4 linked regions of the Struthio camelus genome follow. The protein of the gene in region 3 interacts with the protein of the main gene of each other region in a pairwise test. Links are inferred from orthologs where the notes say so. Each region holds a gene or a part of one and is shown on either strand. Other genes may lie near its edges.

Region 1 (7,593 bases), on a different chromosome or scaffold from region 3:
AGTAGATCTCTGTCTGGGTTGCAAATGTTGGTAGGAAACGTTTAAGTTCAGTTAAACAAAGAGCCAAACCTCTTTTTGCTTAGTTGAGAAGGCCAACCATATATTGCACTTACTTTATGAAGTTTCAAGATGTAGGCCCACCAGTTCGGCCCCGTGTGCATGAGAACACTTCATGGTTTAAGGCCAGCTCCATAGGAGGGGGCTAGGCCCTCAACAACCTTTGATCTCCTAAATTAAAACTGGGCATGTATACACTCAATACTTTTACCACAGGATTAAGTTGCTAAGTGCCTTAGCTTTCAAGTCTGTTTTTTTTTTTTCCGTAAGCCCCATTCCCACCCCTATCAATGAAGCAACCATTTTAACTCCTTACATTATGCTTCTAGTGTACTTTATTGAGCAAGTTCTCTTTCTACACTGAGCACTAACTGAAAGCTTCAGAAGGATACAGTTCCTGAAAATCAGAAGTGAAAGGGCCGTTCCTGGTCCCATATATGTCAATGTTGCTGTACCGCTGTGCTTCAAGGAACTCCTTGCCTGGGGGGTTGTTGTCCCACTGCAGATACATATCGCAGCCCTTTCTGTTAGTTTCTTCACTTATTTCCAACAATGCTTTGTTTTTAATCTATTTTCTGACTGCTGTTTACCTGGCCAAGGAGGGCAGCACAAATAGTACTTTAATGGACTACTTTGGGGCTAACAGATAATTATTGAAGCTTCTACAGCAAATCTGTGCAGAGGAACGCAAGGCGTAACATGCTCTCTACGAGCCATATGCACCTGTGGTGACTGAGAGGTATCATTAAAATGCACAGACGTCAATGTGCTTTTCACGCCTGCATTTTACTGAAATTTTGACGCCCCAGTGCAAGAGAGGAAGCAATTCCAGTTTTAATTCAGGAATTGGTCAGTTCATTTCTCCATTCATCTTTGTTTTTTTCAACATGGACGGTGCATATTCAGTTGTGAAAAGGAACAAAGATCAAGCTGGCTTTTTGCTCATCTTATTCTCATACGCTGAGCTTACTTTCTGAAGTTAGTGGATACTGTAGACGTTCTTCACTAAAACTGAGTTTGAAAACTAGGAAGAAAAGATTCTCCGTTTTAGCCACACAAAATAAGTATTGCCCGTTCTTTAAGAATAACACGTGCCACACTTCTTTGATCTGAACTCCAGATGCTTCCAAACCACAGCTCAACTGACTTTCTAAAGAAACTATGAGGTTAGTATGAGAAAGAAGTCTATTAACCATGTGCATGTGAAAATTAACAGGACAAGGTTACATCAGCCCTCAAGTAGAAGGGAAGTTTAACAATGGAAATGATACAATTTCCAATACTAGTGAGATGAAAGAAATACAACATTAGGCAAGCTAGTGAACTAAAATTAGTATTTGTTTAGAAAATACTACTAGTTCTTGGCACAAAAATCTGTGAAGAATATTTTTATTCCAAGCTGGAAACTTCATTAGCTAGGCTGATCGCTCATTACTTCTCTGAATATAAGTTTAAACATTTGTCAGTTGCTCTGCAGTTTGTGAAAACTAAAACTTTACAATGGATTCATATCATTAAAAAAGATTTCTGTATTTTCTCATTTACTGGCACAGACCACAGAAAGATGCTCAAACGCTATGAAATCAGTTTTTGGCATTGTGTTGTTCTCTGCTAGCATCTGTGATTAGAGGATCAACAGCTGAATGACTGTCTTCATTAAATGAAAACTAATTTGGCAAACCAATGCAAGGAGTCTGCTGATGCACTACATTATCATGTTCTATTGCCCCTGATACCTGATAAGTTATTTTGCCAAAAAACACTTCAATAAGCTGCTGTCCTAATTAACATTAACTAGCTTGTTTTTTTGAACAACCTCCAATACAGAAGTATAGCATGATGCCAGGAAAAGGCTACATGAAGGCTGAGCCTATCTTTCATTGTGCGTAGACTGGAAGCAACCACTGAGCCATGATTTATGTTTTCTAAGATAGTTAGATATAAGTGGTAACTGTGACTACAGCATAAAGTAGTATCAATAAAGTGTCAATGTATTTTACACATGGATTCTACACTGTATCTGAGAACATAAGAATCATCTCTCTCCCACCAAGGGCCATCTGGAATATTTCAGCATCTCACAAGCCGCACCACATTCCTTTGCAATAGGAAAATACTATCATCTATGCTTTACACATGGGTAAAATGAGGTACAGCAAGGTTAGTGGTCTATTTTTCAGAAATAGGGTCTCAAACACCCACAATAGCCATGGTTTTTAACAGGATTTGCAGGAAGCTCTGCAGGTCCAAAAACATGCCCAGAAGACACTACGTACAAAAGGTTTTGAATGACCTCTCACTATCTCACCATGCAGAGCTCTGGCCACCTCCTGATACTACTTGGTTATTTTCATATCATTTATGAGCTAACACTCTACTTCAACACAGGGCACCTCTGACATATTTCCAACCAAACGTTTTTTCTGGGTTTTTTTGTTTGTTTTTCTTTCTCCCTCTTTTTTTTTAAAGCCCCTCTCAAGTTTGGCCTGTCTCCTCTACTCTGGTGGGTGTCTCTGTCTTTAGAGCAACTAGGGTAGCACCTATGCAAAGACTTGCTAGACTCCCCCACCCCTTCACAACAGCGGGGGGGGGGGGGGGGACACTGGTGGCAAGCAATCTTGGGAAGGGTGGAGGCGGTCAGAAGACTAAAGCGGTGCTTCCAAATCCTAATTACTGTTAGCAGGGATTAAGTAATAGTCACTAACCTCTTCAGTTCACAGAGGAGAAACGTGATCCTGTTTAATTCGCCTCCACTCCCTGCAGCTCCTTCTTATACAACACTCAGCAGCTCCAGCATATCAATGTGCTGCTCTCCCTGCTGCTACTAGGGCTGCTATCAGTGCAGCAACACCCCCTTGGCCAGGAATCCAATAAGGACACTACAGGGGCGGGCTATAGCCAGGAGCAGCCATAGCAGCAGAAAGGCTGCTATAGGCACTGAGCCTGGGAGATATCACCTCACCTAGGAAACCCGAAGAAAGCCACACCTGGCTAGCAGGCGGCATCACCTCCCTGGTGCCCGGGGCAAGGACCTGATTAACCCTCCGCAGTGGGGTTTCTCCCAGCCAGGCGTTATCCAGAGGAGCCCAGCTGTGCACTGGGCTGTGGAGGCTAGTACGTCAGCCTCCTATGCGCCCACCCGGCTGCATCTGTAGGCTTTGCTACAGGCTGAGTCCTTGCTTGGGGGAGCAGGAGTTTCAGCAGCGCCAAGCCTGGGGTAGCCTCCCCTGCGGGAAAGCAAACACGCCAATCTGTGTCTGGCTTTGCCCTGGCAGCCTACGTACAGGAAGCAGCTGTAGGGACAGCGCAGTCCAGGTTATGCAAGCTCTTACTCAAGATTACTTCTCCCCATTTCTACAGAAATTGCTTCCTGGCCCACAACACCACACTGTGCTTAAGCCCTAGCTTTTCCTTAGAGAGCCACTTTTTACCAGATCTTACTCCTAGCCTCTTCACTAGTTTCCGCACGTGCGTGTCTTATCTTCATACAGCAGTGCTTTCAGCTGGTTCATTCAGGGCTGGGAAGATAAAAGCCTGGGAGGGTGCAGCTATTTTCCCTGTAGCTTGTAGTTCCTGCAATGAACAGCGCGTGCAGCCGGGATAGTCTGAATTCCACAGACCAGTCTACACTGCGCCGATGCTGGGCATTTGCAGGCTAGTATAGCACCTCAAACTGTGTCACATTAGGACTACAGGTACAAAGGATCAAATTCTGTAAACATTCATCTCAGATGTCATGTAGAAATAACTGGAGAAATCAGCAGCAGTATTTTTTTGCACCCGAGTGTGTTCAATTCATTGTATTTCTGGTAAATTTTGGGACTTGCTATGCGTAAGTAGTAATGGCATAAATAGTAATCTGCCTTCTTCCTATAAAGCTTAAAAAAAAAATCAGCACAGCTCTAGATTCCTTAAACTCTTTATTCTGAAATTCTGTAGGAAGGGATCAAAAGGATATGTGATACATCTTTCTTTTCATCTTTTCCCATTCATTTCTTCTGATTAGTTAATTTCCTTACCAGCAAGTACTCAGGAACTCAGTCTCCTGGGTACGTTTGCTTTTCTGGAGTCATGTTTTCTGAGCCAGATACGGAGTTCTAAGTCAGGCAAAACTTCCGTGGTCCAACATGACTTAATCTGAACACAGCTTTTATACTGACACTACTACCCTGGATGTTTCAAATATGTTACAGGATGTTTCAAAATTCTCTCCTCCCCCTCTCAAACTCTTAATAGCACCATAGGCTAAAGCACAGATACACAGAACAACAGCTCTAATTACAGTAGTTGCACAACTGCAGTAACAAGGAGCTTCAGAGTATGACTAAGGAACTACATCCTAGACTAACAAGCAGGAAGCTTAAAGTGCAGCAAAGAAAGAATGAAGGCCTGTAACAGGTATGCACGGTAATAGCTAAAGCAGGACTCGCTGACCAGGAGATATAGCATTTAAAGATATATAACATGATTTCAACATGTGGGGCTGCTAGTGACTAGCACATGACTATATACTTAGCATAAAGGAATGAATCAATTAGCACATGATAGGAAATCATAACGAATGGCATAATGTCTGAAATAATGCATATGGGATGGATTAGAAGCAGCTGTAGCTCCGAGTCTTTGGATTCAGTAATAGTGCTAGCATTTGTACAGCGATATATGTTCAACAGGATCCTGGACCTGTTTGATCTCATAATTAACCTCAGAAAAAAGAAAAAAACAAAACAAAACGAAAACATAAACCCCCCTACTTTCCAGATGGATCAGCTCCCAAAACAAGGGTGGGAGTGGCAACACACAGCTAAAGCAGAGCACAGTTACCTCTTTCCAACACAAGCGCACTGCAGATTTAGGTTAGGTAAAACTGATCAGGTAACTATATTTTTTGGCACCACTACTTTCAGTCTGATCCCCAGTATACAGCTTCGAGCTCGCTCTTTGCCCTAGGTTTGTTTATTTACTCGGGTGCCTAAGTCATAAATCAAACACTTAATTGCACTGTAGACCTAGGGAAGTTCAAAGGGGTTGAGGGGCTGCTCCTTCAAAGAGGTGGAATGAGAAATGAGCGTTGGGGCAGGCATTTGTGGCCAAGGAGGGGGCAGCCGGCATGGCAGGAGAAGCTGGGATCCCCAGCGCGGCAGCAGTGGTGAGGGGGAAACACAGACCTTGGAAGCAGCAGCACACAGCTCCGTGGTATATAGATGCCTTAAAGAGTCTGTTCCTCTTTCCAGATGGAAATTAATATAGAGTATCTATAAATAATGAGTAGCTTTCAATACTAATAAAACTTCACCAAAATTTCATGGTTGCTGTATAGCTTTCATCATTGCTAAATAACAAGGACAAGGCCTGTAGGGGTGGTTAGGCTTACTTAGGCATAGCTGGGAACTATAGACAAGCTTTTGGCACAAAATCCTTCTTCAGGTGTGAAACATATAAAACAGATTTTCAAGTGAAACACAAATTGAAAACCGTTTTTCAGAGAGACTAGTTAGATGTGTAAGAGTTGGACGACCTCTGAAGGTAAACGTGGCTGGTCCCCACAGCGAAAGGATGTTAGTAGTGAGGGAGGAGGAGGGAAAGAGGTTAAAAAAACCCTATGTGACTTTGTATACAAAACAGCCTTTTAACAGGGCTTATCTGCATGAGCATCGGAGGAGTTCCCATTAGAATTAGCTGCCTCCAGTTCCTTCCAGTTGTGCTGTATTTCTCCTTGTCATTTTTTGCCATATCTTCACATCTTTTTGTCTCGTTTTACTGGTTGTCTTTTCATGTCTTGTTTCTCCCCACTCTCACCTTCCCCAGTCCCACAAGCATTACAAGTCCTAGCAAGTAGCTGATGTATTAATTAACTTCAACTATAACCTAGCAGTCTCTCACTTTTTGATTTCGCTAGGAGCAACAAAGCAATGCAAAATAACGTAATCACTCTGATGACAGGACTTCATTGGCAACCACTGGAAGCTCTACAAGGGAAAAAACAGTTATATTTGGAAGAACTCCATAAGCAGACAGTATTCCCACTAAAACACAATGGCAGAAACAGAAGTTACAATCACAAGCCAAAAGTGTAAATAAGAAGTTGGAAACTACTTGGATAAGAAAACAAACTGAGAAACGTTTGGTTCAACTTCTCTCCGCCAGGAAGCTCATACAATAAATAGCCAAGCATGTATGCTGTAGTAAGAAATAGCAGCAGAGGACACTCTCAAATTGGGACAGTCGTCATTTTAATTTCAGATGAATCAAGGGTTCTGTGAGCCTGGTACTCAGGACCTTGTAATCTGGTAACATTCACATACACTTTACTGAACGCTCAAGCCTAAACGCTGATCTCAGTTACACCGCTAGAAAGCCTACTAAATACGCTCCAAGAGTGAGTGACACCAGGTTATGCGGTACAACGATGGGGGATTATTTAGAGTGAAAAGATAAGCAGAAGAGAGCGGTAATTAAATTAAACACGCCTATCTCTTTGTGGAATCAGTTCCCAGGCAGGATCTAAAATTCAAACCCAAGTCTCTCTCGACTGCTGAAAAGATGCTTACCGAAACTGTTTATTTTACTCTAACGCGTACGGGTGGCTTTTTAAAATATTCCGTTTTGGGGCTTGCCCTGGAAAAATAATAAAGTAGCACAAAAAAAGAATGACTTCCAGAACAAGGTAGGAAGTTTGTGTTTTGGATTATTGTTTCTGAACAGGCAGGATTTTGGATACACAGCAGCCTGCACTTTGCCGCGGAAGTTGGCCGAAAGGCGCAGCTGTCTCTACACAGGCTTGCAAGACTCTCCGCTGCTAACTCTCCTTGCCAGCAAGTATTATACCCTGCTGCCCTTGAATAGCACAAGGCAACTGAGGAAAAACAAAGCAAACTTACAGTGTTTTAACCAGATAGTCACAGGCAACAGAAAAACCCTTTTCCGCAGATCACCACCCCCCCCCCCGAGAAAGCAAGGAGCCCACTCAAGCCGCAGCCCCCACTCATTTCATCACCAGGGCCAAGGCCACCCTCCTCCGGCCGCAGCGAACGGGCGAGGCACGGACCGAGGAAACCCCCAGCCCAGCCCCCGAGGAGCAGGACCCTAGGAAAAATATCCCCTTAGTTTAAACACAGAAGGAGCCAGGGCCGGCGGGGCGGTGGCCGCCGCGGCAGCCACCTTCCCGCCGGCCGGCCCTCCCCTTCCCTCCGCGCCGCCCTGCAGCGCCCCCTGGCGGCGTCGGAGCCCGCGGCAATGGCGGCTCCCACGGCCCACGCGTGAGCCCTTCTGTCGACCGCCGCGCCGTGAGTGGGGGGGGGCAGCGGGGGCCGGGGCGCGGTGAGGGCGGTTACGGCCGTTAGGGCGGGGCCCCAGCCCCCTCCCTTGGCGCGCTCGGCGCTGCACAAAATGGCGGCCGCGGGGCCAGCTCTGGAGGGGAGCTGTGGGGAGCGGGGGTGGAGGGGCAGCGAGGGGGCTGAGACGGGGGGGGGGGGGGAGTTTACATTCAAGGCGATCGCACACCTGAAAAGCAGTGTTGAATGCAAGGAACCGCGG
Region 2 (5,859 bases), on a different chromosome or scaffold from region 3:
AAGGAAGTCAGAGGGCTGAGATCCCAACAAGCTTATCCTTCCCAACATGTGCTTTGCTACAGAAGCAACCAAACAGTACTGATTTCTGATGAGCAAGTTTGAGGTTGAGTCTCACTAGCACAACAGTTGAAAACCAAAAGGATGAAGGAATTAGTACTTTCACTATTACACTAGCCATTTTAATGATTGAGCTCCCCTTTACAAAGTTCATGTTTGCTCTCTGCTAAACACAAACAAACAAAGCAAACTAGCCAAATAACTAGTTAAACTAATCATCCATCAGCCACATAAGTTTTGGTTTAAGAACTGAGCATTATGCTCCATATGCAATAAAAACATTTAGACATGAATTTGCATAACAAATGAAGGAGAAGACCTGATGACCATTTCCAGTAACACTGGCAAGACCAATATCCTATAGCTACTTATAAAACACAACTGTATTCAACCTGCAACATACAAAGCAAAAGGGGCAATGCTGTCCTTCCACAATTTAGCTGCATTACCCCAAAACACAGATAAAGCAGCCTTGGTTTGTTAAAACAAATTAAAACAGTTATACTAGGATCACTCAGAGAAGGAAGAGTATTAAATTGTGGCTGTCAAGAAAAAAAGTCTGCTTGAAGCTCAAACATGAAACTGGGGAATGGGAGGGGAAAGGACAGGAGAGCTTCTTTGCATAAGCTTCCTCAGCTGTGGGTAACACACAGTTTTCAGACATTCACCAACAGGCCTGAGGACATTTTTCTACTCAAAGTTGCCAGTCAAGATCTTAAATCTCAAGCTATAAATTAAGTTTTAAAAGCTACTCTAGACTGGATAGTTCTGTAGCCACTGCATATGCAGACTTGCAGCCACTAACTTCTTCTGGAACATCACAAGAGGTGTTTGAAGAAGGAACAAGAGTTTCTAACAAGGTCATTTTGATCAAGCTGCATCCCACTATAAAGGGCATTTAAGACTTCTGAAAGCAGGTCTGGTCAAAAGATAATACTGCTGCTTAAAATTGATAACAAACTAGTCCTTACTTCACAGGGGAATCTTACTCTACTTTGTAAGGGATAAGCCTGCTGTAGGCTTGCCTTTTACATTCACCTCATCCATTCAACCCTGCCTTGCTACTTTAAGCCTCAAAAAAGTGACATTTCTGCTTCCTTGACTAGGGAGCCTCTGGCGCTACCTCAAAGACAACAAAAGAAGTCTTCTGTTATTGAAATGCCTTTTGAAGGACAACGTTCAGCTATGAACTATTTGTAGCTAACAAAAGATAGCTATCTGCTATCTCCCTGAACCCTTGCTTAACTATATTTAGTTAGGCTGCTTATGAATATACAAAGTCACCCACTATACTCGTTTCCTGCACAGCGTCGGGAGACTGTTTTGTCTACAGTGACATGCCGTACGGAGTCAGTGCTATCCGACAGCCTCTCCGCGTTTACGCTTACACGGCTGCTGGTGCTGCGTTAAACGCGAAGCGTTCACCCTCGATTTCCTACCACGACAAGGAACAGACGTAACCGCGTGCAAGGCGGGTGCTCACCCAGCTTAGGCCGGAATTACAACTTGCGAGTGAGGTTTGTGCAGCACGGAGAGAGGGAAAAACTGCAGGCTGCGGCGTTAGCGCAAGAGGCAGAAGGGCAGGCCCGGCGAAAGGAGCGGGGCGCCGCCAGCTCGCCCGCGGGCCGAGCGGCACAGCAGCAGCTCGGCCCGGCAAGTCCCGCTCCCTTACGGACTTCAGCATTTAAATCCCTCAGAGAGCACAGGCGCGCCAGCAGGCCCCAGACGCCGCGGCGAAGCTTCAGCAGCGGCAGCTCCCTTCAAAGGCCGCCGCCGCCGGCTCCGACCCCGAGGCAGAGGGGGCTCCCGCCCCAAAACCCCGAAAACTCACCTCAAAAACCACCGGCCCCTCCGGCGGGGCGGTCGCGCAGGTCCCCCCCCCCACACACACACCCCGGGAGCTGCCACCCCGCTGCCCGGCTACGAGCCGCCGGGACGGGACGGGCTGTGCTGCCCCCGGCCCGACCCGGCCTCCCCCCGCCTCAACCCCCGCGGCCGCCCTCACCCATCGCGGCTCCTCCGGCTGCGGCTCCCGAGCTGCGGCGGCCACAATATGGCGGGCAGCGACAGAGGGAGGGCGAGGGGAGAAGACGGCGAACGGCGGCCGCGAAGGGACAAACCTCCTCCAGCGCTGCGGGCGCCCCGCCCCTTAAAGGAGCGCCCCGCGCCGCAAGGGCGCCCCCAGCGGCCGGGGGCGGCAGCGCAGCACCAGCACCAGCACCAGCACCAGCACCAGCACCAGCACCAGCACCAGCACCGCCCCGTCCCGTCCCAACCCCCAAAACCCCGGTGGCGGGCAGCAGGCCAGGAGGAGAGGCGCCGAAACGCTCTAAGAAGTCCTTTTATTATAAAGTGCGTCGCCGATCCGCGTGTCCCGCGCTGCTCTCCCGCTCCGGGGCCGTTCGTGCCGCGCCGGCGCGGGGGCCGTTAGGTGGTGCGAGGCCGGCGGTTCCCACCCATGGCAATGAAAACGTCAATGGGGATGTTGGGCAGGGTCAGGCAGTGGCTCCCGGGGCATCGTCGCAGCTGCCTGCGGAGGGAGAGAGAGCAGGGTTAGCCCAGCGGCACGGCACGGCATGCCACAGCGTGGCACAGCATGACACGGCACGGCATGGCGTGGCAGAAAATGGCCCGGCATGGCCCAGCATGGCACGCCACAACACGGCACGGCACGGCATGGCACAGCACTGCATGCCATTGCTTGGGCTGCGTGGAGCAGCACGGCGCAGCATCGCGGGGCACGGCACAGCGTTGCACGGCACGGCACGGCACAGCGCACCTTGTCCCGAGAAAGCCCTCAGGCATGCAGGAAAGCGGGGGGCCAACCTGGCCCCCCCGCAGGACGGAGGGTCTCGGGCCGTTGGGGTGATGTTTTGGGGAGCAAAACAGCTGTGTTCGCCAAGGAGGGGACACGGAGGGGGCACAGCCCTTACCTTCCCGCGCTCTGCTGAGCGGCTACCGGCTCCTGCGTTTCGGGAGCCACGGCCAGGCCGGGAGAGTCGCCCGCCTCTATGGGAAACCTCCGAGCTTGCGGGGTCTCCTGGGAGTTCATGTCCGAGCCCTAGACCTGGGCGAGCGGAGAGGAGAGCGGGGGGGTTAGGGCAGGCGCGCGGGGCGGCAGCCGACCCCCCGGCCCCACGCTGCGGGGCGCTGGCCGGGCCCCGTGGCGCGTGCGGTGGCTCGGCGGCGTCCCTGCCTGAGCTGAGCGCGGTGGCGGCAGCGGGGCCAGGTGCTCTGTGACCCGCCGCGCGCCCCCGCATCACAATGCCGCCGGCACCCGCGCCACCGGGAAAACCCCCTGCTCCCCGCTTCCCCGGCTGGAAAAACTCGAGCTGGACGGAGAGGCGAGAGCAGGGGCCGGGTCCAGCGTGGGGTGCGTGGGCAACGCTCGGCCGCCCGGGGTCTTTCCCTGCGGGGCCACTGCCGGAGGTGGAGGATGCCGCCGAGGAGCGGAGCGTTTCCCGCGTGTCGCCTCCTGCTCCGAACCCCCCCGCCACCTCCCCAAATCCTGCCCTGGGGGGGAACAGAGCAGCAGGGACAGGACGCAGGGAGATCAGAGACAGCAAAAGGATGGGGAGCACCCGGAGGGCCCCCCAGCCCCGCACCCCGACCGCCACCTGCTCACGGCGCCTGCCAGGAGGTCGTTTCAGCGCAGCCCATCACCGCTGCCCCCGAGCCACTGCCCGTTCGGGCGCCCCTCCATCACCCGATTCACGCAGCGTCACCTGCATCACAATAGGACACGCGCATCTTAAAATGTCCCTAGGTGCCCCCTTTCCCGGGGGCTTTGCCCGGGCCGGGGACGCAGCGGCGCGGCGGCTGCAGCAGATGCCAGCCGGGGGCGCGGGCGGCCGCCGGGCGCTGGGATGCTCTCGCGGAGTTGCTGTGCGATGACCTGAGAGAACGGACGGGCCCGGTTTGCGAGAGGAGATGGAGGAGATTTTGCTCGTCAATGGCTACCAGTTGGGCAAGACCATTGGGGAGGGAACCTACTCCAAAGTGAAGGAGGCTTTCTCCAAAAAGCACCAGAAGAAAGTGGCTGTTAAAATTATTGATAAGAAGGAAGGTCCAGATGGTAAGAGATGACACCGGAGAGGACTCCAGGCTGAGGCTCGGTCTCTCCTTGGAGGCTTCTCGTTCTTGGCAGAAAACTAGTTTCCCAAACTTTCCTCCGAGGAGCAGGAGAGGAGGCAGCGTCTTGGGGGGCTCCAGCTGCCCCCGAGCTCCAGGGGGGTGGGAGAGCTCCCGCATTTCCCTGCTGCAGGCAGAAAGCACAGCCCGGGGCATCAGGCCGTGCTTCCCTGCGTCCCCGGTCCCTGCATCGCTCTGGGAGAAGCCCTGCAGGGATGCTCGGTGCAAGGCCATAAGGAATAGGGCCCCCGTGAAAGGACCTTCCCTCTCTCCACCCACCCCTTTGGCCAAGCCCTGGAGGGGTGACAGGAGCCAGCAGCTCAGGGACGAAGGGCCGTCCTCATCCCCGCAGTGCAAGCAAACCCCTCTTTCTCTCGCCGCAGAGTTTATCCAGAGATTCCTGCCCCGGGAGCTCCAGATCGTCCAGCGCTTGGACCACAAGAACATCATCCGTGTGTATGAGATGCTGGAGTCTGCCGAAGGGAAGATCTACCTGGTGATGGAGCTGGCGGAGGACGGGGACATCTTCGATTGCGTGCTGCACGAAGGGCCCCTGCCCGAGCGCCGCGCCAGGGCCCTCTTCCACCAGCTGGTCGAGGCCATCCGGTACTGCCACGGCTGTGGCGTGGCGCACCGCGACCTCAAGTGCGAGAACGCCTTGCTGCAGGGCTTCACCCTGAAGCTGACGGACTTCGGCTTTGCCAAGCTGCTGCCCAGGAACCGCAAGGAGCTGAGCCAGACCTTCTGCGGCAGCACGGCCTACGCGGCGCCCGAGGTGCTGCAGGGCGTCCCCCACGACAGCCGCAAGGGTGACGTCTGGAGCACGGGTGTCATCCTCTACGTGATGCTGTGCGCCAGCCTGCCCTTCGACGACACGGACATCCCCAAGATGCTGCGCCAGCAGCAGAAAGGGGTCTCCCTGCCAAGGCACCTGGGGGTCTCCGAGGAGTGCCAGGACCTCCTGAAAAGCCTCCTGGAGCCAGATATGATCCTGAGGCCTTCCATCGAGGAAGTCAGCTGGCACCCGTGGCTGACTAGCCCCTGAGAAGGGCTCGTCAATGCTGTCCCCAAATAAAGGGGACGGATTGCTTCTAAAACGCTGATACATTTTCACGTCAGTGTTTCCCACCCATCCATCCCGCGGGGGGCAGGCCAGGCCAGGCCTTGGCTGGCAGAGCCAAGATGATGGGTCTAGCCCATGCTCAGGCATTTCATCTGTTCACCCAAAGCCCCTGGCCTTCATGAGTTGAGAACAAGGCGTGCTTTATACGTGCTCCAAGGAGCTTTGAGCAGCGTTTGCCCACCTTCCCAAGACCATCTCAAGCACTGGCACGTCTCACACAGCCGGCGGATCCACGGCCGTGTGTCCCTGGCCACGAGCAGGGCGGGAAGCTTCACCCCAGCCCTTCCCCTGCCTGGCTAGCCACTACGGAGAAGATGCAGCCAAGGCACTAAGCCAAAGGACAGCCCAGCATGCCCTATCCCTCTCTTCCAGCATCCTCCCAACCAAGCGCATGTCCCTCGGCGGAGGTGGGAGGGAAAAGAAATCAAAACCAGTCCAAGAGACACAGACCCTCTGGGCAGCCCCCACCCTGCCGGCAGACGAAATGAGGACACCCAGTACAGGCAGCGACTCTGTAGAATTCCTTTAATTGCTGTTAACTGCAAGTC
Region 3 (7,045 bases):
TTACGTCTGTCAGTAAAGTTAAAGGACTGTGTTACATTTGCAAACATCAGAAAACCCTCAGTAATCATGTTCAAATTCTTCTTTTGTACCCCTGAAGTTTTACAGACTTGGGCTTTAATCCTGTGTACCTGCAAGTGAGGCTTTACCCTACTGATATACCTTAAAGAGAAGTGTTTGACTACTTTTTGCAGAAGGTAGATTCGCCAAATCGCATTAGATTGTAATTTTGAGAAACACGTTTGCATGTCTTGTACCATGTCCTTTTCATGAGGTAATATGAACTGTACTTAATGCTAAGTCTCCTTTCCACCGCTACAAAACAGATGTCTGTTATGTTTTAACGGCACCAAAATTAATTACTTGTATTTAGTTTTCCTCTTGTTTAGGAAAAAAACCCTTTCCTGACACACTGTAGAATACACACCAGACGGAGGCAGCTAGAGTTAACACTAAAAAATATTCATTTGTTTACAGGCATTCACCGTTCTCTTCGCTGGTAGGAGCTGCGGAGCCTTGCTGGTGACCACCGACACCTGAATCATCTGAAATAGCCCCTGAAATTTTTGGCTATTTCAGGGCTCCGGACCCCGCATGGCACCTTGGAAAGGAAAGATGAGTGTGTTGTCAGGGCTGGTTTAGACACGGTGCAGGGAGCAGCGGGCTGCTGGTAGCAGCGGGAGGTCAGCAGTAGGTCCTGCTGCCTGTTTTTCCTATGCCTAATTGTTGCACTGTCTTCAGGGGAGGGAGCAGTAAAAGGGAGCAGGGAATTGCAGGCACTTCCCTTGCCTGGCCGGCTCCAGGCAGGCTTACGATGCATTACTGAGGCCGAGCAGTCCAGACGGATGGGCAGGAGTGTCTCGGAGCAGCAGACCCAGTGGAAGTCCCTTGGCCACCCCTTTCTCGCAGACCCACACTGGCACCTCTCTGAAAAGTGGTGGCAGGATCCTGGGAAGCAAAAAGCTGCGGCATGGTAAGGGAGGGGTGGTAGCACGGCCTGTGAACCTTAGCAGAGTGGTGCGGATGGAAACGCGGCACAGGCAGTCCGTGCAGTGATGTGGCAAGAGAGAAACCAGGCTGTGGCTGAGTCCAGCTGCGCATAGTCCACACGTGTAGTTCCTGGATCCCTTTTTACCAATAGATTGGTTTAATTAGTTGGCGACTATGGAAATGCCTGCATAAACCTCAGTCTGGTTCAGTAGAAGTACTAAGGTGTGCACACCTCTACTTCTTGAGACCTCCTGGGTATCTTCTGTCTGGCTCAAATGTATGTTTCAAAACTTTTTTTTCTGTCAAATATAGAAAGTGACAGAGCTAATCCTCTTTCACTGTCCCTGGCTGTCAGAATAGCGTTAACTTGTACATTGGGAACCTCAGTTAGGTATTTTTACTTAGTATAAATTCAGTTCAAGCCTTCTAGTCGCTTGATTAGAAGCAATATATCTTAAGTATAGATTTTCTTTCATTATTTTATGGACTACATTCTTCAACTCAAAGATTCCTTAAGAAATTATAAATAGAAAAGATCCAATATTTTGTGCCCGTAATTCAACTTACTGTCATTGCTTTAAAAGGATCAAAGTGATATTTATGACTTTTTAGAAATAATTTTTTCTGAAGTGGAGGTAGGCCTGTACATTAAGTTCAAGCTCAAAATATGATATTGCTGGTGCACAGAAAAGCCTTGAAGTAAGCATTTTAAAGAAAATTGTGATTTTAAATTGAAATAAATATTGTATTGAACACAAAAGCATGCAGAACATGACATGAGACTTAGAAAACCGCAGCTGAGCTTCTGTTGATGTAAGTCAAAGGAGGCATACCTAGTCCCCCTTTCCCCAAGGATGTCTGTGGGAGGCCCAAGTCATGAATCTGGTTGTTGGGCATGAATCTAGTTGTTGAATCCTGACCAAAGTGTGGTTATAGCAAGTGATTCTTTGGCCAGCTTAGAAAATCCTGACCCTTTGTCTGCAAAAGACATTTTTAAGTAGCAGCATTTTGGCCTCCACAGCTGGTCTGTGCCTCAATGGAGAAGAACATTTCTTTAGTTCATTTTTCTCTTCAAAAACCCCATTCCAAATCAGCAGGATCATCTTCTGGTTCTGGTTAAAGCATCAGGCAAGGGAGTCAGGCTTTTACAGTCAAGCTTATGCAAACACGCTCACCCCTACGCGCCCTGTTTTCTTTGGTTATAAGGCTACTGCTGGTCACCCGCAGCTTTAGCAGGGCCGTGGGCCTGGTCCTAACTGTGTTTTAAATAGAACCAGCACAGCAGAGTTGTGATTTAATAGTTTATTAGCTGTATTTGTGGAACAGATGAGACCTTGGCTTGTGGTACCTGGCAAGTAGTGCAGGATGGATCAGCGAGCAATGTGCTTGGTAAGGAGTCTGCGCTTGGACAGTAGCCTTGTTTATACAGATTCAGTTCAGTGCCCACTTGAGTTAGCAGAAGTGTCTGACTTCAGAGTACTTAGCAAAGTCAAACTGTGGGATATTACATTTCACTTGTAAGACCTAAAACTAGCACCGTCAGTGAAGTAGATTAAGGTCTGGATGACGACATGAACCCCTGTCAGTGTGTGTAGCAGAGGTCATTCCCAGAGGACCACAGACACAAGTTAGAGCAGCTTACAGCCACCCGTCACCTTCTCTGCTCGGGAGCGTTTTTATAAGCATAATTTCAAAACTGTGCTGTCTGGACTGAATGCATAAACCACACTGAGCAGCCTTAAACCAGAGACTCAGTCTCAGGAGGAAAAGTGGGGGGTTTCTCTGGTAACAGAAAGCTACGTTAGCAGTCTCCATGCCAGGCTGTGGTGTGGAGGCAGTGTGTGAAAATGGCCACGGCCAGCTGGCAAGCGTGCTCTTGGGGCCATTTTTTTTTGTAATTTATCAAAAAAAATTTGTGTTTTTTAAGCACTGTGTACCATAGGACAGGAATTCAAGGCATGATTTAGAGTAGTCCCCATCTCCCTGATTTAGGGCTACCTTGAATTAACTTTTGGCACTCACCACTGGCCCTCTGGAGTCTCCAATGCCGGGAAGATGCAACCAGCCTTGCTGTACTTCCACCGTCTCCTTTATGCTGTTTTTCACTGGGAGGTACAGAGGACCATACTGAATGAGGCAATTCCCATTGCAAAAGCTACACTTTCAGAAGACCAGATTTCTGCTTGCAATGCAGTTATGATGGTTGAACAGTTCAGCTATGGAGCACAGACTGAACCAACTTTGTTTTTAGCTGTATTTCCAAATCATGCTAAATATGGTGGTTTTTTAATATATATGTATATATAAGTATATATAACAAAAATATATTTAAAAGTATACATAAATAATAATTTATTTCCACTGATGATCAAATTGAAGAGTCAGTTATAGCCCTCCGTAGTGTGTAATAATATTCAGAATACTTCTGGCAAGGCAGTGGCCTGGGATTCATTTAAAAATCAAGTTCTCCTTTAATAATAGACACATTTTTATTCACTGTGTTAGGCTCTGCAGTGTTTACTATAACCACATTGTTCTGGTTACTTGCCAGATCACTGAACCTATTGTTTCTCTTATACTTCCACATTAGGTTTACATACAGTGCCTGACTCTAAAGCAAAAAGTTTTAACAGGACACTGAGCCTTCTACTCCTTCTATTTGCCTCTGTAGTTCCAAATGTAATACACTTTATTTAATTCACTGTAACTGCTTCTCTGTTGATTGACCATTTATAATCCAGTGGAACCATAGCAATGACCTATGCTTTAAAATGAGAGTAATGGAGTATCCCCCTCACACAGAGTCAGCCCACCTTGAAAGCCCTGACATTACCACTACCCCACTGGATTAGAGGAGATGTGGTTTATATTAGTGGCCTGAAGAAGGTTCATGCCCTTTGGGAAAAGGTTGTTCCCTGGAATGGCAGTGTGATTAATGGTTTATTTACAACACTGACATCAAGGCTGTCAGGACTCTTCATCAGTCTTTGATGTAAAACACACTCCGAGGCCCTAGGTCATTCTTATCTGCTCAGAGAAGAGAAATCAGAAATGAAGAATGGGTGAGTGTGGCTTCAGTTCTGGTACTAATATTTTCCATAGTGGCAGCAACAGAAGAAAACTACAAGGTCACTTCTACTTCGCTGGACAAGCTGGTGGGACCATATCTGGTGGTATGGCTTCCTTTTTTTGTCTGGGGGGAGAGCAGTATGTACAACAGAGCAAGAGACTGCCGGTGACAGATACCACGGTGAGAACATACAGATACCTACATCAGATCCACAAGGAGGGGTAAGTGTTTCAGCACTGCACAGAGCTCAAAATAGGAACTGATGAATTTTCACTATGACATTTTTAGTAATTATTGTGTGGTACTCAGCACTATCATGTATGGACATTTCCAATTTTCAGAACTTCAGTATTTTAAGAAAGGCTTCCCACTGCTGAAAACTTTCTATATTTTCTTGCTGAATTGGCTAAGCCCAGTTTGATTTTTCTGAAAACCTCCTCAGAGCTGTGTGCTGGTGAATCCCACACAGCCCATGTTCTCGTGGGCTGGCTGATTAGTGAGATAATGCTGCAATAACGTCAGCCGTTCCTCTCAGCGCTTTGATGGCAACTGGCTTGTTGACATCCAGCACGTTTACATAGGCAGCCACCTTTTCTCCTGCCCAGTTCAACATCTGTGGTACAGGAGAGATTTGAAGCATAGACAGTATGCAATATGCCTACGGTACTTCAGTTCTACATTACCTTCACAGGGGATTTAAAAATAACTAAGATGCCTGAGAAGGTCTCCAGGGCCCAGTTAAAATAGTAACTGGATGAAAATCAGTTACTGAATCTGAGCCAGATAAGACTGAAAATAATGCTAGGGAGGAAGAAAACTATTTTGGAGAACCTCAACTTCCCTCTGTTAAGAGCTCTGGCATTTGTTTTATCAAAATGTTCCAAACCATTTGGCTTTGTGTGGGCTCCTCGTTATTTCTTGGTGCCTAAACAGCATGACCCTATGAGATAGTTCTTCTGTGCATGATATCCTGGCAGACTGCACTCCTTCTTGATGGGTTAGGGTTTACTGATAGCAATCTATGACTTGCAGGAATATGTCTAGCAATATGCCCATAAATCAAACTGCTCATCTTAACAAAACTCTAGTTCAAACACAGCAACGTGCTTGCTTGGCAGAGCTGGCTTCCGAGAGCGCGTTTTACTGGGGTTCACTTGGCTTCCTATAGAGTGCTGGATGGAAATTAGTGTATGCAGTGAGGACCACCCAAAGCAAATGATTTCCATTAGAACTAAACAAGTCCTTAAATGCAAGAGTGTAGGATGTTCGTGCAACGGGACACAGAGGTTTCTTGACAGTGGGTGCTACTTAAGATACTATCTTAAGGAGAGCAAAAAAAGCCCCACAATCTAGTAGTAAAAAAACCACATCCAAGTAAAATAATCAGGAAAAATGCAGAGGCAAATTAAATTCACACACAACAAAAGCAGACAAAACTAAACAAAGCTGTGCTTTCCTGTCCTAACTTTAATCCTCCAGAAGGCCTTTAGACATTGTAGTAGATGGCTTCTAGCCCACGTGTGAAGATCCTAACTACAGTGAGGCAAATGACTGTAATTAGCAGTCTGATTAATTTTACTTCCTGAAAGTGCAAAATGCAAGCACTTAACAGATTCATTATTTGACATTTCTTCAAAATTTCTTAGGGGAACAATTCTCAGCTCTGGACCATTTGCAAATATTTCATTCTCAGCATTTTACCTTTTTGCTGTTGGCTACTTGAACAGATTTTTCTTTCTAGGTTAGATGGCCCTTAGTTAGCCAAAAGCTTGTGTTGTTGTGAAGATCATTTGCAAGTACAAAACCTTAAGTGCCCAGCTCTGGTTAACTAGGTAAACTGATCAGCACTCAAATGTTTCCACTAGAATATTCCTAGGGAGTATGTACACACTCACACACATACACACGCACCAATGGCAAAAAAAATTTTAGATGTGAAAATTTCACACGCAGAAAATTCACATGAAAATTTTGCAGGAAAATGTAACTTTTTTTCCAGCTTTAGTCCTAAAAACTGGAAGTATTTCCATTTGATTAGTACAGTTGTGTGCATGGAACCCAAAACAAAAAGACTGAAGAAGATAGGAAAAAAATACATAGAAAATAAGTTTTTGTTGATAACTTTCCATGTTTCTCTCTACACACATTTCATGGAAGATTCTAGGTAATAGAAACTAATGTGGCTAATGAGTCACAACCAACAATCATACTCTCAATACACAGTATACATATATTTTGGTATTTTCCAGCTCCCGGAGAAAGTTTCATCATTTTGTCATTCTAAAACTTTCCCAGACCACTCCCTTTGTAAAATCTGTTAAAGGGCTTTTAGCTGGTTTGTGGTCAAGGCTCTGTGTCTCGTGCAGCATGTTAATCCCAAAATATGCTTCAGCAAGCTCAGAACAAAGTTGGGCTGTCCTCAGAACCCCCCTCCTCTTCTCCTCTCCCTTTCCCCATCTCCATATGGGAGTTTAAAAGCTTAAATTATTGAATGCTGCAGGGTTTGTTGTTGGCGACGAGCAGTTGCAATGTAGAAATCAGCAAGGGAAACCTGGCATTTCTGGCATCCATCCTGGGAACCACACAGGGCTTGCTGCCAGGTTTTTCTCCATCACGCTCTTCTTGCTGGAGCTACCTGAAGCTCATTCCCTGGCCATGCGTGTCTCTCCTGCTCCCCCCTGCACCAGCTGGAAAGGTCTTGGCTGCCCGTCTGCCTGCTGGAGGTAACATCTGCTTCCCAAGCTGCTCCGTGGCCATTTCCTACTCCACTTTGGTCAAGGTGAGCTGGGCTTGCAGCCTGGAGCTGTGGCGGTGGTGAGGGCTGGGAAGCTCAACTGCCCATCCCACCTCAGAGGCGGGCACTGCTGGTGCCCAGCAGTGGGAGGAGACCCCCCCCCCCCCCCCCGGCAGCTGAGAGGGCCACAGCAGAAGAGGATGACTGTCTGTCTAGCGCCTCGTGACACCTCCTGGTGCAGGGAGAGGCACTGG
Region 4 (7,556 bases), on a different chromosome or scaffold from region 3:
ATTAAAAGCATCCCATTGGAAACTGAGGAGAGCTGAAGGGAATTCCTGGCTCCTCCACAAATCCCAGCATGTGATGGAACTAATTGGCAAGCATAAAAGACACTTGGTCTGTCTGGTTCCGGTTGGATGGGAAATTCTTTGGAATGGGACCTCCCTCTTTCAAACATGCCTCAGCACAGAACCTTCAAGCATAAGGTTGAATTTTGCCCAAATTAAAATGCCATGATTCCAAATGACAATTCTTTTCTTTTATTATCTGCCTCTTTCTTGCAAGTGAGCTCATCTACTCTATGAATTGCTTACATTCATCTGAGGATGCACTAACCCAAAAATAGATCCGAGTGGCCACTTGTGAGTGAACTCCTTAGGTCCTCTCATTATTATCCCATAGTGCACAGTTTCATACCCAGACTAACCACAACCTGAAGGATGTTTGTTGAGCACACTGAGCCAGATTCTTCTTAGAGATGCCCAAAGAAAGAACAAGAGGCAAAAAAAAAAGCAGTTACAGCAAGGGAAATTTCAGCTGGATACAAGGATAAAATTCATAATGAGAGTGGTTAGGCACTGGAACAGGCTATCCAGGGAAGTTGTAGAGGCTCTGTCCTTGGAGATGTTTAAAACTGAGCTAAATTTTGAGTTGAGCAATTTGATCTAACTCAGAAGTTAGCTTTGCTTGGAGCAGGAGGCTGACCTAGATGACAAGCAAAGCTAACTTCTGAGTTTGCTGACTATTACTACGCGAGCTGAGCCAGTAGATGTTCTTCCATGAGAATGTTCCTCATCTGCTCCAGGAAAAAGCCTGCTACATCAATTTTTTAGTTCTGCGTGTAGCCTGAAGAGAGGCCTTAAGGCTAAGACATTGCTGTGTTCTGGCACAAACACAGCTCAGTCATACCGTTTTCTTGGAGCTACTTCTATCATGAGGCTTATCTTTCTAATCTCTCAGAAACTCTAAGCAGATCATTCTGATGAATAGCAGTGGTGTGTGTTGTTTTCAGTCCCTTTCTGAATAAGGCCCTTCCCCATCTTGGCGATCTGTTTCAGAGAAGCAGCCCCCAACTCAGGGACAAGACAAAGATGCAGGTACAATTATTAACCCACTACTCCCTAGCCCTCAGACCAGTACCAGCAGACTTTAAAACAAGGAATTGCTTAATGCTGAAAACCATTTGCCCAGGACAAGTTTGCTCTTATCTAGGAAGAGATTTGGGACTGGTTATATGAAACCAGAGGAAAAGCAACATTTTGGTTATGTTGTCATGGTGGCTCCTTCATTCAAGAAGTATGTCTGTATTTCAGCTCCCGTGTCTCTGTCTCCCGTGGTGAATCATTTATTTCATTGGTAAACCTTTTAATTAGATGTCCTTGCTTTTCACTGTTGTTTTAGCATAGAAAAAAAAAAAACTGAAACAAGTTATAAACAAAGCAGAAAACAAGATCTTTTAATCTTCCTAGTGCCCAGGGAATCACCCAATAGTCCAAATTTCCCAGAGCAAAATATCAGTTGGTTTCCAGAATGCAATATAATCTACATGCCAAGCCTTGAAAAATCCATTTGCTTACTTGCCCCAGGAAAATTGCTTTTCTTGGTGACCTAGTAAGAGTGTAAAGCCATGAATATATGAACTCCAAACTTTCATTTTGAACAGCCACATTAAAGTCTTGTTATACAAAGTTGAATTCTTAAGGGTAGCTGAGACAGTACTGCTCTCCCCACCTGTAGGCAGCCAGCTCCAAGGCCACTGCTCACAGCTTTATGAATCAATAGCAGAAAAAAAAGAAAAGAAAAAAAAAAAAACCCCACAGATGAGATCAGCAATGCTTTCAGTCTTCGTTTGGTCAAAGTTATAACCAAAGAAAGCCCCTGAAACTTGCCGCACCAAGCAACACATGTAAACTAGGGAACCTGGAAAAAGGCACGTACACATCTAGAAGTCTCAGAGCTCTGAAAATATGGTAGAAGGAGGAAAAAAAGGAGGAAATTTTCTTCTGAGTGGTATCAGGGAAGGCTTCAATTTCAAACAGCAACATGAAAAGCAAAAAAAAAAGATTTTCGCCTCCCCTAGCTTATGGATAAGGATGTACTTCTTGCCAAAGTGAAAAGTCTAATATACCTTTGAGAAGTCCCTTATTTTCCATGCCTTTGGTTAACAGATATCCAGTGAAAAATTCAAATTACCTCCGTTCCCTGCCCCCCAAAAGAAACCAGAAAAGCAATTTCAGTTATCTACCAGAGGATAACCCCGAAGCAAATGGGATCATCTTTCCAAGATATCTTGCCTGACAAGCAAAAGCTTTGCCTCCTCAGGATCTTGTGTAGTGTTTATCCTAGATTAACCCCGGTCAGCTGAGCTAGGAACCTCTGTGGACACAAGTTAGTTCAGTTGTTGTCGTCCCAACCCAGTCCTTGGCCACTTTAGCAAACTGCCCTGAAGCAAAAGTGAACCTTGGGGTCACTGCCTGACAGTCTTAATGACTAAGAGTTTTTGCAACGTTTACCCTGGTGATGAAAAAGATTTAGAAGTACCAGTTATTCCTCCACACGGAGACTTCCACTTCTCCTGACCGAGCCTGAAGCGGGCACAAAGCTGGCCATCGGCCAGGCAGGCCGGGCCATGGCCCGCTCTCCGGGGACGCCAACCAGCTCCCTAGTCCTCCCATTCGAGGACTTCAACCGAGACCCTCGCAGCCCTCCCCGCTCCTCACTGCGGAGCCCTCCGCCGGCCCTCGGCCCGCCCTGGGCACCTCCCGGGCGTGCAGGGCTCGGAGACGCGGGACGCGGCGCGGGCAGACCGCCCCTCGGCCGGGGCGACCCTGCCCCGCGGGGGGCAGCCGGCACTGGCTCTGCCCAACGCCCCCGCGACCCCTACCTTGAGGCTGACAGCAGGCAGCTCCATGGCAGCGGCCCGCCCGCTCGCCCCGTGACTCCCAGCGGCGGGGCCGCCTCACGTGGGGCTGGGCCGGGCCCCGCCGCCGCCACGGGCTGGTCTCGGGCCGCCCAGGGGAGGGCAGAGGGGCGGGAGGAGCCGGGACGGCGCCTCGCCTCGCCTCGCCCGACGGGGGCGTCCGTCAGCATCCGGCCGACCCCAGGCCCACTGCAGGCCCTCTAGACTTCCCCTGCGGGGGGCTCCCTGGGCCCTGGCGGCCCTTCCTCACGTCAGGAGGATGGCAGGCCGAGGCCCTGCCATGAACTGTGCCCTCTGCCCCGGCCAGCGAAATGGGACCTCTCAGTCGCCCCTTGCACACCCTCAGCTGAGATACTGCCATCCCCAGCGCTATCTGGTGCGACAGCCCTTTAGCAGTAATAAAAGTTTGGGTTTGAAAGTGAAGATGTGGTGTGAGAGCGGGACTGGGCCCTGCAGGGCACTCCAAGGACAGCAGTGATGTTTCCATGCCCTGCTTTGTGCATTGTCTGTTATTGATGTTGCCCGAAAAGCTTCCAGAGTAGGCCACCTTCACTTGCAAGCCAAACATGAATATGCATTTGGGCTATGCTGTAGTGTCCATAGGAGTTTAAAATGTCCAGTTTCTCCTGACTGCTTCACCTCACCTCAGAGCTGTCATGCAGTTTGAGGAAGGTGTCTGAGGAGCAGGAGCCTTAACTGAATTAGCCTGAGACTCGGCAAAACCAGGACATTTCCAGTAAAGAGACAGCAAGTTTCATTAATCATGAAGGCATTTAATAAATACATCAGATGCTCTCATCTCAGCAGAATGTGTGGCAAAGGGCATACTTAAGTATTCCAGGGACACTATGACTCTGCAGGCTTTTCACATGTAAAACTGTACTGCTGTTAACACTAGTAGTCAGGGAAAGTCCGTGGTGCTCATACCTTAAGGAATCTAGGACAATCGAAACAGTAGAAAACAGGGACGTTTTCCCAGGACATCCTATTTCATTAAATTTATTTGCTGCTATCTGATACGTATTGCACAGCACCTGCAACACCGAGGAGAAAAAGCCATCACTAGGTTAGAAGGGTAATGGGATCACTTTGTTTGTTAACGCCAAACATCCAAGCAAACAGCTCTTGCTACTTACAGAAGCAGTGCAGCTGTGGGAAGGTGTAACAGCATATTTGGGCTGTAGTCAGGGTCCCAAAAGGCTAAAGTGTATTTAGTGCTTAGCAGCTTTCTGGAGGAAAAGAAAGCTCTTGTGCACACATCAGTAGTGTGACCAAAAGACAGTAAGTGTGGGGAGTGGAAAAGAGGTCTTAAACACTACCACCACCAAAAAAAAAATTGCAAGATGTTTGTTGCACTCAGCTGTATCATACAACAAAGCAGCCATGTTCAACTCAATTTGATTGTCCTTTGGGGTTGAGTGCTTGAGTCTCTAGCCCTGTGGCTAGAATGGCTAGCAGATACTTAGTTGCATCCCTTGGCCCTTTTGATTTTTCCCTAGAACTAGATCACTGAATTCTTTCCTAATGCAATTTCCTCCTCCTGCAACTTCAAAGCAGAACAGTCTATGCCAAGAGGATTTGGGGAGTGGGGAGGATTACACTAAGGTGTGCTCTTGACAGACACGCTTGAAAGTCCTTTCTGATCCCAATAAGGGAGAGCTGCCTCGTACAAAACAGGCATTCTTCCATTGTCATTCTGAAAGAAGACTATTCCCATTTTAGAATTCCTGCCCAGTTCATAGTACCATTCTTTTCCCCAGGTATGACAAAGGAACTAATAACACCAAGAAGCCGGGCTGACTCCTTTTCAAACCCTGCCTTCCTTGCCCAGTGTATACTTTACCTGTCTGCCGTGTCCATCCACAATGCATTACTGGATCAGGTGCTTTCTTGTCGTCATTCAGGTGTGCTCATTATTTATTCTAGCAGAAAAGATGGGGCCACTGAGGAATGAGCAAGGAGTCAGAAGTTCATTGCAGAGGCTGAATATGTGAATCATCGTTCAATCCCATTTCTAGTTCAAGCAGTGCAGTGCAAGATTATGCATATGAGTGATGCAATGCTGAACCTGTGTTCACAGTTCATCAGGCAAAGCACGAATGTAGCTCTATCCAGGCTGTCCTTCACTGCATACTGAGTCCCATTGACTGCTAATACACAGCACACTGAGATTTCCCAAGACAAAGTACTAAATGGCAAACTGAATCAACTCAGAAAATGGTAACCAGAAGTGCCAGAAGAGAACTGATTAGCTGCATAGCAGCTAAACAGCAGGAAAAAAAAGCTGTAAAAGTGCACCCAAAATCTCTAGTTGTACCACTTTACCAGATGAAAGACTGAAAAATAATTCATCTATTGCCACATCCCCCAATAGCTGTGACTTTCTTTCCATTTCTGTACCTTGCAGGGAAGCCCTGCCTCCACTCACAGAAGTAGTGGTGTCAAATGGGATCAATAATAATGCTCCCAGTGATGCCAAGGACTGTATTTTACCCTAAATGGCAAAAAGAAGTTGTGGCACCTAAAAAAAAGATAAAGAGAGACTTTGAATAGCCTTATTGCTGCCTCAATGCTTGGGTGAAAACAGCAATAGGAATGCCCTTCCACCAGGACAGGTATCTAGCAAAGGAATAATGTTGTTATAAAGACAAATTCCACTGTCATGCTGCAGCCTAGTTTAAGTATAAGCACTGTTTAGATGCAGCAGTAAGTGGGCGTCTTTGCTCCTTTCAACGTGTTCACTCAGTCTGAGTGAGACAGAGAGTCTCATTATCATTTATACAGCGCGAGCCATAATTTGGATTGATGTGACTGCTGTTTAATGCAAAGCATTCGTTTCCCCTTGTACAATAAAAGCACTTTACTTCATTTTGTTCATCAATGTATTGTGCAATTAATTCAGCCCTGCTTATTATATCCTGGGCTTGCATGTCGTGGACTCGAGGGACTCAGAAGTGTCTTCATGATCTCATGGATATGAAAACAATGAGAACTGTGACAGACATTATGCATTTGCACGTCTCTCACACCTATCTGATCGGGGGGATTTATTGTTTTTTATCTCTGCTTTGCTTTGCTTGTACCTTGTAAATTGTCTGTCTGTGTAATCTGCTGCCTCTTTCCCTTCCCTAGGCTTGATAATTCAGAGCAACATAAATATGGTGCGAAAGACAAGCAGCGAGATAAAGAAGAAGACCTGCAGCGAGAAATAGATGACCCAGGAGACTGGAAAGACGATATGGAGATTTTCCTGAGTAGCAGACTTGTCAAGTGAGTTCAGCTGAGTACAACTAATATAATATCCATTGTATAGCTGGTTCGTCAAGTATATTGGTGATATGCCTTCTGCAGGGTGGGTAAAAACCTATTACACAGCTGGCTCCCTTCGTGACAGCATAAAAAGGAGGCAAAGAAGGCAGAAGTGCTTTCCTTTGTGTCTTCAGGACACTGTAGTTTTGATGTACAAAGTTACAGCAGTTCTGTAGGGCAGCAGCAGAGCTGATACAGTTGCCCCTGCTGTCCCTATCTGGCCTGTGGAGATTGAGACAAGCTCACCCCTCATAGTTCTGCCCTTCTTGTCCCTCACTCAGGCTCTAATCTGAAGGTAACTGAAGACTGCCGATGACACTGGTATCTTTGAGTTGTGCCCTTGTCTCGAGAGCTGAGAGCAATGAAGGCACTCGCCCTGCACAAATGCGTGTATTATCTATAGAGCCTTTCTGAATAAGAAGCGAGGAAGGACATACAGAAGTTGTCCTGGCTCTGCAAACTCTCTCTGAGATCCCAGTGGGAAATCAGCAAGCAGAAACATTATCATTAGGACTGGAGGGGAAAGTGAAGGCATTTTGTAATGCTGGTGGGGAACCTCCTCCTGCAGCTTCACTGCAGAACAGTCTATGGCAAGATGATTTGAGGAGTGGGGAGGGTTACACTAAGGTGTGATCTTGACAAACATGAAAGTCTTTTCTGATATCATCAGGGAAGAGCTGCTCTTCTGATTTTCTAAAATCTAACTAGAGCTTTGAGAGGTAATTGAGGGACTACTTTTCAAGATTTGCTGGCGCTCTAGAAAATGAATTGAGATAGCAGAAATGGGTTTTAGGGGTGCATGTGATCACTCAGAACATTCCAAGAAAACAACAGCCCTCGTTGTTTCTGATAAAACACATGAACAGCAATGTTTTCTCCAGGCTTTATGCAGTAGAAACTCTGACTGGCATGGACTGGAACAATTTATTATAGCATGGGTTTGAAACTGAAGCACTTCTCCACACTGTGGATTGACAACAGGGTAATTAGCTGGGGGGGGGGGGAGGAGAGACAGTTTCAGTAAGACAACCCCCAAGCTAAAATGAATGCAGACTATTACAGACCTGAGACAGAGTGATTCCCAAGTGTTTTAATTTGTGCTTCCCCTCCTTATCTTGCTTGCACTCATCATTTTGGCAACTGCCAGCAATATTCCTGAGATTCAGCTGCATTCACAGAGCAGGCAGCTGCTGAGATAATTATGTCAAATCAGCACGCTGTCCTCTCGTTTCCATGTCTAATGACTCTCACCCTTGGAGAAGTGGCTCAGAACGATGCATGCCCTTTGGATTTATTGTGAGGCTGCTAACAGCAGTGACTCCAGAGCAGGAGTTTGGG

The links.
Region 1: the proteins of LNX1 (region 3) and BLVRA interact in a two-hybrid assay, tested with the Homo sapiens proteins (3 studies listed by BioGRID and IntAct). The link is inferred for Struthio camelus from reciprocal best matches to the Homo sapiens genes LNX1 and BLVRA.
Region 2: the proteins of LNX1 (region 3) and TSSK3 interact in binary tests that used the Homo sapiens proteins (3 or more experiments, as listed by UniProt). The link is inferred for Struthio camelus from reciprocal best matches to the Homo sapiens genes LNX1 and TSSK3.
Region 4: the proteins of LNX1 (region 3) and AGTRAP interact in binary tests that used the Homo sapiens proteins (3 or more experiments, as listed by UniProt). The two-hybrid records come from large-scale screens. The link is inferred for Struthio camelus from reciprocal best matches to the Homo sapiens genes LNX1 and AGTRAP.

Annotation. Positions count from the first base shown.
Region 1 is NC_090943.1:60,052,757-60,060,349, reverse strand, and holds the start of BLVRA (biliverdin reductase A), read right to left. Parts: upstream 3,001-7,593; 5' UTR 2,763-3,000; intron 1-2,762. UniProt on the Homo sapiens protein: Reduces the gamma-methene bridge of the open tetrapyrrole, biliverdin IXalpha, to bilirubin with the concomitant oxidation of a NADH or NADPH cofactor. Does not reduce bilirubin IXbeta.
Region 2 is NC_090964.1:8,519,993-8,525,851, reverse strand, and holds TSSK3 (testis-specific serine/threonine-protein kinase 3), read left to right. Parts: upstream 1-3,934; 5' UTR 3,935-3,987; coding exon 3,988-4,132; intron 4,133-4,571; coding exon 4,572-5,233; 3' UTR 5,234-5,336; downstream 5,337-5,859. Other genes in the region: KPNA6 (importin subunit alpha-7), read right to left, coding at 2,063-2,066. UniProt on the Homo sapiens protein: Serine/threonine protein kinase required for spermatid development and male fertility.
Region 3 is NC_090945.1:57,112,050-57,119,094, forward strand, and holds the start of LNX1 (E3 ubiquitin-protein ligase LNX), read left to right. Parts: upstream 1-4,035; 5' UTR 4,036-4,278; intron 4,279-7,045.
Region 4 is NC_090962.1:6,801,872-6,809,427, reverse strand, and holds the start of AGTRAP (type-1 angiotensin II receptor-associated protein), read right to left. Parts: upstream 3,014-7,556; 5' UTR 2,901-3,013; coding exon 2,874-2,900; intron 1-2,873. UniProt on the Homo sapiens protein: Appears to be a negative regulator of type-1 angiotensin II receptor-mediated signaling by regulating receptor internalization as well as mechanism of receptor desensitization such as phosphorylation.